Astyanax mexicanus: one gene and its partner. The protein of the gene in region 1 purifies or fractionates together with the protein of each later gene. This does not show direct contact. Links are inferred from orthologs where the notes say so. Each region holds a gene or a part of one and is shown in the gene's direction. Other genes may lie near its edges.

What was found. Proteins that work in one complex are often made in the same cells at the same time.
Region 2: the proteins of sdha (region 1) and sdhaf2 purify together in Homo sapiens (co-immunoprecipitation; 3 studies listed by BioGRID and IntAct, counting the BioPlex papers as one, with this or other methods). This does not show direct contact. The link is inferred for Astyanax mexicanus from reciprocal best matches to the Homo sapiens genes SDHA and SDHAF2.

The regions. Positions count from the first base shown.
Region 1 is NC_064410.1:21,966,094-21,973,206, forward strand, and holds the start of sdha (succinate dehydrogenase [ubiquinone] flavoprotein subunit, mitochondrial), read left to right. Parts: upstream 1-4,112; 5' UTR 4,113-4,210; coding exon 4,211-4,270; intron 4,271-7,113. Other genes in the region: ctdp1 (RNA polymerase II subunit A C-terminal domain phosphatase), read right to left, coding at 1,792-2,084. UniProt on the Homo sapiens protein: Flavoprotein (FP) subunit of succinate dehydrogenase (SDH) that is involved in complex II of the mitochondrial electron transport chain and is responsible for transferring electrons from succinate to ubiquinone (coenzyme Q).
Region 2 is NC_064423.1:8,988,527-8,996,040, reverse strand, and holds the start of sdhaf2 (succinate dehydrogenase assembly factor 2, mitochondrial), read left to right. Parts: upstream 1-4,490; 5' UTR 4,491-4,587; coding exon 4,588-4,614; intron 4,615-6,441; coding exon 6,442-6,656; intron 6,657-7,514. Other genes in the region: cleavage and polyadenylation specificity factor subunit 7, read right to left, coding at 4-149, 257-360, 1,758-1,949, 3,397-3,450.

The DNA.
Region 1 (7,113 bases):
AAGCTAAGTGGATATAGATGTGATAGGGTCCCCCAGTACATGGGTGTCCACTTGCAAAACAAACTTGACTTGTAGAGGTGTGTGTGTGTGTGTGTGTGTGTATTTGTCATGCTTTGATATGCACAGTCCCATAAACAAGAGAATAGATTACAGCATATCTCTGTGGGACTCATTGTGCGGGCTCCTCAATTACCTTGTATAACCACTAGATGAAACTGCAGAGCTTATGCAAGGCTGCAGAGACTAATTAAGACAGCACTGAACGCTGTGTGTCTGCCCCATTAGTAATTTTAGCTAGGTGTGGTGTTTTCTTAACCATATCTGACTTAAACTGCAATATTTGTTAAATGGATAAAACTATTGTGTCTTACAAAAGAAGTGAATTAAAGACTATTAACACCACAAACCAGATACCCCTCTACACGGTACACAATTCAGCTCAGTACAGTGAAGTAAATATCGGTACACTGCAGATCTAATAAACATCCTTAACCACACACAAACCCAAACACAGTACTGCAGCAACATTTGAAAAGCTAAAGGAATTGCATCCAAAGTGACAAGAGTGTTCGGCACAGGATAAAGAACATTGGTTGTGTTTTTACTTTGATATCTGTTGAATGTCATCCCTCTAAAACTCAAACTATTTAAACACATATGGATCATGCAACATTCGTTGTACTTCTTTGGACTGAATCACAACCAGATAATAAAATGCAAAGTAGTTTAGAGATTTTGCATATGTGGTTGGTTTTAACATATGGATGTTGTGTAAAATACATCAATACTTTGGTTGAATAACCTTGGTTTTTCATTACAGTTTTTATGCATCTTGGCATGTTCTCCTCCACCAGTCTTACACACTGCTTTTGGATAACTTCATGGCATTCATAAATTCAAGCAGATCAGCTTGGTTATTTTCAGCTTGGTGAAATCCAAGAAACTTATTTTTAAGTGGTCTCTATATGTATATTATACGTAAATTAATTATTTAACCTGTTACTTTAAAAGACAGGGTTTAAAACTGTGACTAATTATGGACATATGTGAAACCAAAAGATGAAATAAAAACAAATGTCTTATATAAATCATATACATATACAATTGTTTTCACTGAACTGTATTAGTATATTCATACTGAAGGCTGGAACTTAGTGGATCACATATAAATAGAGAACACAATAAGGGTAACAATAAGGGTAATTATTTTAATGTTTTGTAAAGTAACAGTGTAGTGCAGGCTAAATACTGTAGATAAAATAAAGTAAACAAAATTACCTGTAGCAGAAATTTGTCAACATACATATCAGTTTTGAAATACTGTCATTATTTGGAAATACCATTATTTTACCTATCGCTGTATCCACTGCATTACCATCATAGCCTCAATCCTACTTTTTTAGTGTTAGTGCTGTAACTTAGTTAGTTCATTTTCATGCGCCGGGTAAAATTGTTTACCTAATTATGAAAACAATGTGTTTTGGAGCAAGGCAGAAGTTAGCAATGTTTGTACCTTCATGCTGTATAAGTTTTATTTTTATTTAATCTTCTTAAACTGTTGGCAAATATTAGCCCCTTGTGTAACAGGTGCCCTCAGGACTTTTATTTTGAAAAGCTCTTCTTAAGCTCAAGTTGCTGTTAGCAGCTCATGTGCCCAAATTACCACATGCAGACAGTAACCTGCTGTAACTATAAGTGACTCTGACTGTGGTGATGAACTGATCTGATCTGGGTGAATGTAGTGATGTTAATGTGTTACAGCGCCTCTCTGCTCTTTAATCAGCAGCTTACCCGGCGGATAGGTCCTGCCCGAGCTGACAGCAAAGTTCTCTCACAACTCCGGCTCGGTCCGACTTCAGCTTCTTCTCGGGGACGGTCGGTTTGTTCGGCCGGTCCCGCTCCTGCGCTCCGGACTTCTTGTCCGCGGCTGAAGCTCCACATACTGCGATAACAGAGTCCACATTAACCAGAGCTCCGGGCTTCACCTTCCACTCCAGCAGCCGCATGCAGCGCTCTCCCGCGGGCCAGCGGATCTCACTCAGCAGCGCTCCACTGCCTCCACCAGAGTCCGCGGGCTCCTCCATGCTTCTCTAGCGCCCTGCACCGATCTCCCCCCGATACACAGGCTGCTTTAAACCGCAGAAATCAGGCTAAACCTGTGAATATACAGACTAAACCAGACTATGCAGCCAGAACACAGATTCAGGTCTGTTCTCCCTTCCCGCCCGTAAACAGGAAACACAGCGAAAGTTGACCAGATTCAGTTTCCGGTTTCTTCTTCTACTGCCTCATTCTGCCGTTAACCAGTTTAAGGTGCAGCACTGCCTCCTCTGAACTGGAGAGTGAATTTCTTTTCACAACAGACAATCCAAAACACAGAATAAACAAATGTTATATGGAATAAGGGTATCTGTTTTGCGAATTTCGTTTTGTGCATATAAAAAATTACCTACAATTATTATAAAATCTACTATAAAGCCGTCCTTGTGGTAAAATAAAGGGTTATCAAAATATCCAATATATAGTCAAGAGTCTTTTATTATCATTACATCTGATTACACAGTGACCAGTGTCCTCTGGAACCAACACAGTTCAACATTGGACAACAATGCAAACATAAAGTGCAAAAGTGATTGAACAATTGAACAGACAGGACAGTGCAGTTACGGTACAATGAAATGTGTATAGTGATAAAAAGGTGTAGGGATATTTAACATACTTTAACATATAAAACAAACATGTTCACAGCAGTTACTGAGGTAGAGAGTTATACTTCTATAGAATGAAGCAAATATTGCTGATAGGGATAGAGACATCTCAGTCTCTGTGTGCTAAGGGGAGGGTTCAGTTCAGTTGTGTGGTGATGGGGGGGGGGGTCAGCTCTGTATCTGTGTGTTGAGGGGTCTGATGGTCTGATGAAAGAAGCTGTTGCAGAGTCTAATATTGGAGGCTCGGATGTTCCTGTATCTTCTGCTGGAAGGCATCAGAGCGAAGAGTCCGTGTGAGGGATGGGTGGGGTCGTCCGCAATGCTGGTGGCTTTGCAGTTGCACTGTGTGGTGTAGATGTTGGTGATGGAGGGGAGAGAGACTCTGAATATCTTCTCAGCTGTCCTCACTTTCTGCTGTGGGGTCTTGCAATTCGAGATGTTGCAGTTCCAAAAACCAGACGGTAATGCAGGTGCTCAGGATGCTTCCTACAGCCCCACTATAGAGCATGGTGAGGATGGGAGGTGGAAGATGAGCTTCTTTCAAGTCTAAAAAAAGAACAATCCAAAAATAAAAAGTGTTCAATTGAAAAAAAGAAAAACAAACAAAATAACATTAACTGGGTAGCATATATGCAAGATTTTATATATCAGTTCTTTTATTTTGTTACTGAGAATATATTTGTACGATTCTGAACACAGAAAAACCCTTAACTAAAACTAAACCTCAGATGATTTAAAAAAATCTGAATGATATATATAGTAAGTATGTAATGCTAATAATGAACCAATAATGCTAATGTTTACACAGCAGGGCAGCCAATCAAATACACACGTTTTAAAATGCTCAGTTTATCTACTATGTATAGATAAACAAAAAAAAAATATATCCCCAGTCACAATTAAAAATAATGTAATAATGTTTTATATTAAACTCTCAACTTTATTATACACTCAAAATTATTATACACACTGTGCCCTGTGTATTTATACTATATACAGCATTTTTTTTATTTAACTTCTCATTTAGAAAAAGAAAATATAAGAACTGTCGTAAGACATACTATCTTTCTTTTCATAACATAATGTATCACTCTTCTTCAAGAAAAATGAGCAGTCAGTGGACTTGAGGTTAAGGATGTCAAGGCTACTCCAGAGAATCTAAGAAACAACGCATTAAATAACCTACATAAAATAAGAAAGGCTTTCCTCTCTCTGCTGCTGTTGGTGTGCTCTGTTTTTCCGATGTGTTACAGTAAACACTGAGTAAGTGTGTCGACCGTTTAATAAACTTATAATATTTTACAGTTAAATAGTGGTGAAAGTCAGTCGTGTCGCAGTTCAGAGACAGCGCTGCTGTTGTATGATTTAAAACTGCGTCAGGCTGAGCTCTGGCTCCAGTACAGTGGGTGGCGGTTCAGCTCTTCAGTCGGTTGACACTCCCGCAGTAACTCCAGCAGCAGAGGAAGGGCAGCACTCAGACCTGTCATTAACACATTAGCAACATGGCCGCGGCGCTAGCTGCCTACCGTGTCCTCGGGAAGAGGGTGCTGTCGTATAAAACAGTAAGTAATTCTTAAAGCCTCGGAGTTTAATGCTCTTACACAGCATTATCATACAGCAGCGCGTACCGCTGTTTATATACCCTGTTACTGCCTCTCAAACCCCGCTAACTAGCCTAGCTAAACTAGCTAGCCTAGCTTAGCCTAGCCTGCTAGCGTTAGGTAACGTAACTAGCTAGCGTTAAGTAACCGTGCTGTACACTGTTATGAAAGTTCGGATATCGGTCATATCTCAGGAAAACAGTTAAATTTCCTTCAGTTTTTCCACACATATATACCAGCTATAGTTAGCTATTTTGATATGCTTTTATTATTGTTAACCACATGTTGTTGTATATTGTAGTTAATGTAGCTGGCTGTGGGCTCTACATCTGTAAACCTCTGACACTGAAGGTCAATGAAAGAAAATAACCTAACTACATGAACCTGGCTTATTTTTTAAATTCTAATGGGGGTGGTGCTAATGATGATGATTATAATGATGGTGGTTATTATTGTATAACTCTTCTCAGTGGAAAACCTTTGTGTTCTGATATTATTGTTGCTTGTTAGCTGCTGTTGTTTGTGTTTCTTATTCCCATCGCCCTTCATGTGCTCATGCTTTAATATATTTTAGAGATAAGAACTCGGAAATTGTCCTTTATGTTCGTAATAACCAGACTTTTAATAAAATCCCACCTGCAGTCAACTTCCATTGTCTTTTGTCATGGTGCTGCAACAGTCCTTAAGCAAATGCCTACAGCTAAAATCCACTTTTAAAGTGTTGCTAAATAAAAATTATTAAAACACAATTATAATTACACATTGAACAAATTGTTAATTTATGTTTGATAGAGTGGGTTGAAATATACTAGAAACTAGTATGTGTTGCACAATTAACATGTAACATTTTATAGTGATGGTTAATCATATGTTACACTTTTAAGGGTATACATTTACCACTGTGTCATGTAGCACAAGCTAAACTGTCCCATAAAGACATAATGTTTGTACAATACTATGCAAAGGAAGAAACAAAAACAAATGACCAGCCACTAAATATGTGTGCACAGGGGTACAGTCATGCCGGAACAGAAAAGGACCTTTCCCAACTTTTTCCACAAAGATGAAAGCAAATAGTTGTCCAAAATATCTTAAAATGCTGAAGCATTAAGTTTATCTATCTACCTATCTATCTACCTATCTATCTACCTATCTATCTATCTATCTATCTATCTATCTATCTATCTATCTATATATATATATATATACACACACACACGCACACACATACACACACACACACACATATATATATATATATATATTATTATTATTATTATTATTATTATTATTATTATTATTATAAATAGTAAGCAGCCCCCTTCAACAGTAAATGTAGCTTTTATATTATACACAGTGCAAACAGTAATTTGATTAATCAGGTTAATTTTATTAACCTCCCAGTCCTTACTTGAATTCCTAAAAACAACCCCATAGCTCTCCATTCTTCCACCAAACATTGGAACAGTTGGAACAGCACAGTCAACCCCAGATTCATCCATAGCCTGCCAGATAAAAAAAATCTTAATTTATCACTACACAAAACTTGTTTTTTACTCCATCTGACACTGTGGAGCTGTTTTCATCACTGCAATTTGGATGAAGATTTTCCATTGAAAGGAAAATATAGTATTACTATATAAATATATAATACTCGGCTTAATTTCAATGACATAGGGCTTGCTCAGCCAAGAAAACAGCCATGAAGCTCCCTGTGCACAGGTTTGGAAAACAGCCCTTATTGAGCAGCTCTAATTTATGCACTGTGACTCTCTGCACCTGGCATCACTCTGTAACTTTATGTAGTTTTTTTTTTTTTTTTTTCGGTTTGTGACCGGTGTGCTGTGTTTTTCTAAAAAAAAAAAAAAAAAAAAGTCCTCTATATTATTATTTTACTCTCAGTTGATGGTGAAATTGGGAGATTTTGACTTTGAGTGGACTTTGTAGAATCACCAATTTTTTCATGATTTTTGCAAAAGCTGACTGAAAGGCTAAATGCTTGATTTTATACACCTGTGGCGATGGGTGTAAATGAAACACCTGAATTTAGTGAATAACTGGTCTGTCCTGTTATTTTTATAAGTAGTTTAACACTGATCAATCAAAAGTATTCGAAATATACATACAGAATCTTAAAAAATGCAGTTCTGCACTATTTAATTTAGCTTTTTTCTGCATTGGCAAAATTATTTAAAACAATTAAAAACACACTTACACGACTGCTTTAAAAAATACTTGCATATCATTCACCTTTCATTTAACAACACTGAATACAGAATCTTTACCCAAACCAAAGCTGGAACACTGAAGTTCCTAACATTTACTGGACTACAAGCAAGTATCTGACCCCCTCACAACAGTATCCACTGAAACCAACCAATACTCATGCCAGGAAAATGGCCTGTGAGCTATCCTGGTGTTGAATCCCCATTACCAAACCTAACGTGGATACTACTGTTTGCTATATAAAAATTAACACGCTGCTAATAGCAATATGTGTACAGTTTATCCGACTGGTACCACTGCTATGGTGCTAGCTGTGCAAATGGTGCAGATTTCAATAGAAACAAGTCTTTGTGAACAGAGAAGTTATGATCTGGCTTTGACTAACATGACTGTAACATTAGAACACAGCTGATGTGCAAGAAGTGGTGTCTGGGCAATGTCCTGAGGAAGACTTTACTGTGGTCATAAATCTTTAATTATTAACAGTCTTTAACCAGATAATCAGTTAATTTATCATTCAGCAGCAGATATCTTGTTTTGCCTTTCATTAGGTTGAAGTCTGCCTGTTATTTCACCTT
Region 2 (7,514 bases), on another chromosome or scaffold:
CACGTTTTCTAGCCTGAGCCTCAAACACGGCCAGGTTCTGCCGCGTCGCGTAGCGGCACTCCACCTTCTCACCATTTATCTGACAGTGTGGGATTGAGTCCATTAACTGTTTCACAGACTCCTCTGAGGACACCACAATCTCTGCAAAACTGGAAATAACAAAGAAATATGCTTTAAATTTATGGTGATGGGAGCAAAGAGAGCAAGGATAAGAGAAATAAACTGAGCAAAAGAGTAAAAAAGAGAGAAAACTCACCCTCTAGACTGACCGTTAGCTCTGTTCTCTGCAAACTTAATATCCACAACATCTTTAACACCCAGTGTCCGCGCTACATTTACCAGATCTTTGTCTGAGGTCCACTGTAGGATTCAGAAAAGAGGGCAGACAGAGATAAACCTTGTTAATCTTAAAGGAAGCTCTACAGAAATATATACAATAAGGAACATAAGTATTTGAACACCCTGCGACTTTGCAAGTTCTCCCACTTAGAAATCATGGAGGGGTCTGAAATTTTAATCTTAGGTGCATGTCCACGGTAAGAAACTAAATAAAAAAAAAATAATAATAAAAAAAAAAAAAAACAGAAAATCATAGTGTATGATTTTTTAAAAATAATTTAATTGTCTGTTACTGCTGCAAAAAAGTATTTAAACACCTGAAAAATCCATGTTAGTATTTGGTACAGTAGCCTTTGTTTGCAATAACAGAGGTCAAACGTTTCCTGTAGTTTTTCACCAGGTTTGCACCAAACACTGCAGCAGGGATTCTGGTCCATTCCTGGTCCAGCCATGACCTATCTTTAATGCTCTAACTGAGGGAACAAGGTTGTTACCCAAAATCTCGCAAAACATGGCCCCTGTCATCCCATGTGCAGAAAAACACCCCAAAGCATGATGCCTCCACCCCCATGCTTCCCAGTAGGGATGGTGGTTTTGGGATGGTACTCATCATTCTTCGTCCTCCAAACACAGCGAGTGGATTTAAGACCAAAAAGTTTTATTTTGGTCTCATCTGACCACAGAACTTTCTCCAATGTCTCCTCTGGATCATCCAAATGGTCATGGGCAAACTTAAGAAGGGCCTGGATTTGTGCTGATTTAAGCAGGGGAACCTTCCGTGCCATGCATGACCTTAAACTTTGGCGTCTTAGTGCATTACCCACAGCATGGAGCCCCAGTCCGAGGGAGAATGACAGTCATGTTAAGCCTCTACTTTAATTTTCTAATAATTGCTACAACAGTTTATCTTTTTTCACCAAGCTGCTTGGCAATTGCCCCGTAGCCCTTTCCAGCCTTGTGGAGGTCTACAATTTTGTCTCTGGTGTCTTTGGACAGCTCTTTGGTCTAAGCCATGTTAGTAGTTGGAGTCTTACTGATTGTGTGGGGAGAACAGGTGTCTTTATGCAGCTAACAACCTCAAACAGGTGCTTCTAACTTGGAATAATAAGTGGAGTGGAGGCTAACAGGTCTCTGAGGGCCAGAATTTTTGCTGATCGGCAGGTGTTCAAATACTTATTTGCAGCAGTAACATTATTAAAAATAAATGATAAAAAAATCATACATTGAGATTTCCGGATTTTTTTTTTAGATTTTGTCTCTCACAGTGGACATGCACCTAAGATAAATTTTAGACTTCAAAGTCGCAGGGTGTTCAAACACTTATTTTCCTCACTGTATATGAAACAGCATGAACTAGACATGCTTCCAAAATATCAAAACACTCTTCAGTTTATATGAACGAATGGTTAACTGCTTACCCAGGAGAAGTTTCCCACGTAGACTGAGAACCGTTTGGACTTATCTGCTGTACAGCCTTTGTACGTGTAAACTACTTCCGGCTTGTTATCATCCTTAGTTGTCTCTGTTTCCTGCGGCCTCTCGCTGCCTACAGAACCGGTCACTACATCGTCATACAGAGCGTCGTTTTCCGTGGAAAGAATGTCACCAGTCTGCAGGACAGACATACAGAGTTTGTACAGTACAGATTGTGTAGCGCTAGGCGTGTGGTTATCACAGTTAATTTATGGGGGGCAATTACTCTTTCACACAGGGCCAGGATTGTTTGGATAGATTTATTCCCTTAACAAATAAAAGCATCTCTAAAAAATAAGTTTATTGTATTTACTCATGGTATCTTTGTCTGATATTAAATTTGGTTTGATCTGTAAGGGGGCAAATACTTTTTCATGGCACTGTGTATGTGAAGTTAGAATGCGCCTTTTTTTTTAAACCGTTACTGATTTAGCATCATCAGGTAGCCAGTGTGCTCTGGCTGCTGATGGAGAATCAGCATGACCTACTGTACTCTCTCTCTCTGACTCTGGCTGCTGATGGATAATCAGCATGACCTACTGTACTCTCTCTCTCTGACTTTGGCTGCTGATGGAGAAGCAGCATGACCTACTGTACTCTCTCTCTCTGACTCTGGCTGCTGATGGAGAAGCAGCATGACCTACTGTACTCTCTAACGGACTCCGGCTGCTGATGCAGAAGCACCATGACCCAGATCTGCCACTTTTGGATGATACTGACAGCACCTTAGACTGCTTGAGCATTTGGAAGCCCTACCGTAATGTCTTTAAACTAATTTCAGCTAACAGAGAATCATCATTTCCTCAGATTGCTTTACACCAGTAACAGCCTGCACTCCTCTTGTAACTTTTTGTACTATTGGAACATTGTTTTGATGAGAAGCTGACTGCATTCAGCACCCCATTAGAGGTCATTTTAAATTGCAGCAACTTGTCTGTGGTCATTATAAAGTGTAGTAATGTGTTTGAGGTGATTATAAAGTGTAGTAATGTGTTTGAGGTGATTATAAAGTGTACCAACGTGTTTGCTTATAAAGTGTAGTTTTGTGTTTGCTGTGATTATAAAGTGTAATAATGTGTTTGAAGTGAGTATAAAGTGTAGTAATGTGTTTGAAGTGATTATAAATTTCAATAAAGTTTTTGAGGTAATAAAGTGTAGTACAGTGTTTGAGGTGATAAAGCGTAGTAATGTGTTTTAGGTGATTATAAAGTGTAGTACCGTGTTTAAGGTGATTATAAACTGTAGTTAAGTGTTTAAGGTGATTATGAAGTGTGGTAATGTGTTTGCTGTGATTATAAAGTGTAATAATGTGTTTAAAGTGAGTATAAAGTGTAGTACCGTGTTTAAGGTGATTATAAACCGTAGTTAAATGTTTAAGGTGATTATAAAGTGTGGTAAAGTGTTTGAGGTGATTATAAACCGTAGTTATGCGTTTAAGCTGTTAATAAAATGTGGTAATGTGTTTGAGGTGATTATAAAGTGCGGTAATGTGTTTGAGGTGATTATAAAGTGTAGTAATGAGTTTGAGGTGATTATAACGTGTGATAAACTGAGGTAAATCCTCCATGCTGCTGCTGATCTTACCGCCTCCGTTTTCAGCTCGTCGTATATGTCGATTGGTTCCGTTGCTGCTGCCATCAGGATAACCCCCTCCTGCAGGCTCTGCTGGTGTGCACTGGATTTCTGGTCTAATAAACCGTTTTTTGTAGGATTAATCCGAATTAATGTGAAATGTGCGGTAATGAAACTTGGGTTTTCTGTTTACTCTCCTCACATCGCCTGTTCCCGCCTTTCCCTACAGAAATAGCACATTTCCCCCGCAGCCTGAGCTCAGCGCGCTTTATAATAATTATTATTTTATACAGTATTATACTGTTCCTTTATCCACACACACACATTAATCTCCCAAAATAATAAATAATAACAATATATAAATCTCTACAGCACTCGGCCATCAGTGACTTCTAAAACACAGTCCGGAGAGAAACACAGCCGCGGTGTAAAGGTTCCTCCACCTCACGCTTCGGCCTGTAACATCCCATATTAGGTTTATGAATCGTATGTTATAAACTGCATTTTAAAATGAAGCAAAAATAAATACGTTTTAAACTCATTCTGACTATTTACCCTGAAAATCCATTACTTAGTAAATATTCTTAACTTAAAAATTATCAACACATTTTTTCCCCACAGTTTTTCAATGAAAATAAGTACGATATATGTCTTGAGTATTATTATTTTTTTATATTCTTTTTGCTAACTTTAGTTTTTATAAACATTAATGTAATAATTCTACATCCATGCTGTTGTCTGTTGGAACTACCTCACAAACGCAACTTGTGTAAAGATCTTTGCATATAATATTAAGATTGCAATAAAAGAGTCAAGCTAAATAATAAAATTTTAATAAATTCATTATACATTCATTTTTAAAGTGTTGCTATTTATATAAAACTGGGAGTAAAATCTTTAATAATTAATAATATTTCATTAAACTGGAACTGTCCATGCAAAGCAAAGTCAACACTGTTGGCGTTTAATTTTCCCACCTGTATTATATAAACCCCACCCCTTCTACGCTACTATTGGATAAATTGCTTATAAGCGCGAAGAGTCAGCCAATCGCAACACAATGGCGGGATCTGGTTGACCAATTGAAGCGCAGGGCAGGTGGAGCGTTCCTGAAAACGGGTGGGAAGGAAATAGCGCGTGCTGAACTCGAGCGTGTTGTGTTTGAGTCCTGCCAGCTGGATTTTACTGACTTTTACACTCGCGATGTTTTCTTCCGCACTGACAAGGAGAGTGAGTACTTTATATTGGATTATATGGGAGTCAATTTAACATATATTACATTATCAGTGACATTACATTTGTGTAAAGTATAAAGGGATGAGTGCAGGTTAAGTAATGTAGGTTTAGAGCTAAGTGATACTGGTGTAGCGCTCTGTCTTTTGGGGTGCTTCTAGTTAGCTAGTTTAGTTAACTAGTTAGCTACTAGTAAGCTGTGTGTAAAGTGTAAATAAATTAATTTTATTAAGAGTGTTTGAACTCTCCACAGTGAGCTAGCTGCTGCTGTGTTTTGAAAGGGAAGCCGTGTTAAGGTCACTGTAGCGAGTGTTAGCCAGTTAGCATGGCAAGCTAGCACTAGCTCTGTTGTGAAATTGTCCTCTAGCTGTGTTCTTTAGACTAATTTTTAGAAGCATATTAGATCATAATATTTCAGTCGAAATTCCAGTCTACCCGTATCACTGTTTAAGGTCAACATCATTCACTTTCTGCTTTAATATAAAGTTCATTTTTGGTTTAATTTCGCGATTTCCAAATTGTAGTTTTCAGATTGAGACATTTCAACGTGGGTGAAGGTGAGCCGGTCCTGCTAAAAACTACAACACCCATAAAGTGCATAGTAAAGAACAGCGCTCCTGTTCCCGGTTGCATAAAACAGGTTTACTGTTTCCCTTAAGATTGCCCTAAACGACACTTTAAAGACCAGTGTGTTGCAGAAAAAAAACAAACAAAAAAAGTGTTTTCTTAAGGGAAATAATCATAAACCCTTAAATGTTTCCTAAATGATCAAATTTCCCCTAAATAATCCCTTAAGTGATGAACAAAGTCAATCAACAGCTTATTCAAATATAATTATTTACGGGACCAACAAACCTCAATTAATAACTGGGTGATGTTTATTTCTGAGGGATGTATTCATATTGAAAATAATAATGAAATTAATTTTTAGAGGGTTGTTACAGCTAGTAAGTGGCTATGTTTACAGTTGAGCTTTACTGCAGTAAATCCTCTTCCAGTTCCCTTTAGATTAGTGACTTGTCTGAAGGATTTTATACAACACACTTAAGTGATCCCCTTAGCTAAGGGGAAATTCTTCCTTAAGGTTTATACTTAAAGCAACCGGGCACTGGTCCTGGGAGCCCACTGCTCTGCACATCTTGCTTCAATCAATGCTTTTCCTGTTTTTAAACATCATTACCTCAGTAATGCAATGTTAGTTTGATCAGCTGTGTTGGTCACTTGGAAAACATTAAATGTTTCAGACAGTGGGACTCCAGAAAAGTTTGGTTTTCTTTATTCAGTCTTTGTGTTTTGTATTTTTCACTGCATGTAAATAAATCACAGTTTGAATGAACTTCTATGTCAGCATGGTACCTCCATCCACTACTCAATTGCACTACCCGGTGTCTTTGTGTCTCCCTGTATGGGAGTTTGGCAAGCATCGTAACAAGGACTACAAGGCTGAAGCAGGAAAACATTAGGGCACAATGTATTGTTCTGTAACTCTGATACATTAAAAAACAGGCAAATGATTCTGGTAGAACAGTAAAAGGTATAATGCCTTACATAGAGTACCAACATTACAGCATTAATACAGTAAACTGCAGTGATTGAATTGTTGGGGTGTGCGTTTTGAGACGCTGCAGCATGTAACGTTTCAAGAATCATCACCGAAGAACAGATGTGATTTTGAGAGTGCATTAAATGAAACTTTCTGACTTAAATTAAAATAAATGTAACCATAGATTTGAGTTAAATATTGAACATTCAATTTTTACTGACGGTAATCACATTCTCACTACAGTAATCCTGTAGAACAGTACTGATGTTGATCGTTTTCAGATGCTCTGTGCTGTTTGCCGGACGTCCCTTCGGTCTCCTGTCACAGCAGCAGTGGTGACCCGGGGGTACCGGGGTGATGCTCCAGAACCTAATCTGATAGAGATCCCCCTGCCGCCGTGGCAGGAGAGAAAAGACGAGTCTCTGGACATCAAGAGAAAGCGTCTGCTGTACGAGAGCCGAAAGAGAGGCATGCTGGAGAACTGCATCCTCCTCAGGTCAGACACACAGGCACTCGCACTGGCACTCGCATTTCTACTGGCACTTGAACTCACACTGGCACTTGAACTCATACTGGCACTCTCACCCACACTCATACTGGCACTCTCACTCACATTTATACTGGCACTTTTGCACTCCCATTGGCACTCGCCCTGGCACTATTACACTCATACTGGCACTCGCACTCACTTTGGCATTTTAACTCACATTTATATTGCCACTCATATTCTTTCATGTTCTTGCTGGCACTTGCACTGGCACTCTCACTCATACTGGCACTCTCACACACTCATACTGGCACTCGCATTCTCACTCACACTGACACTTGCACTCTCACTTACATTAATACTGCCACTTTTACTCACTTAAACTGGCACTGGCACTCATATACATACTGGCACTCTCATTCACACTAATACTGGCACTGGCACTCATACTGGCACTCACTGGTACTCTCACCCATAGTGGCACTTGAACTGGCACTCTCACTATAATTAATAAAATAAAATATTTGTACTGTATTGCCTAGGGCTGTGACGATAATTTTATTACCGCAATACCGCGGTTATGGGACGTCACCGCGGTGATGAGCTCATTACCGTCATTACCGCATTTTTTTATGGCTGTCAAATCTGATTGACTGCGTTTTGAGCGGTAGTAAAATGCTCCATATAAGCACAACTGTGGTGAATTCAGTATTAATATGTCAAGTGTAAGTCCTACACTATAGGGCTGTGCAATATATCAAATATATTTTGATCGCGATAGATATTGGTGTCAAACGATCTCAAAATTCATAATATCGAATATAAAATTTTTTGTCATTTATCTGTGCTGCAGCTGCACTGGCGCGG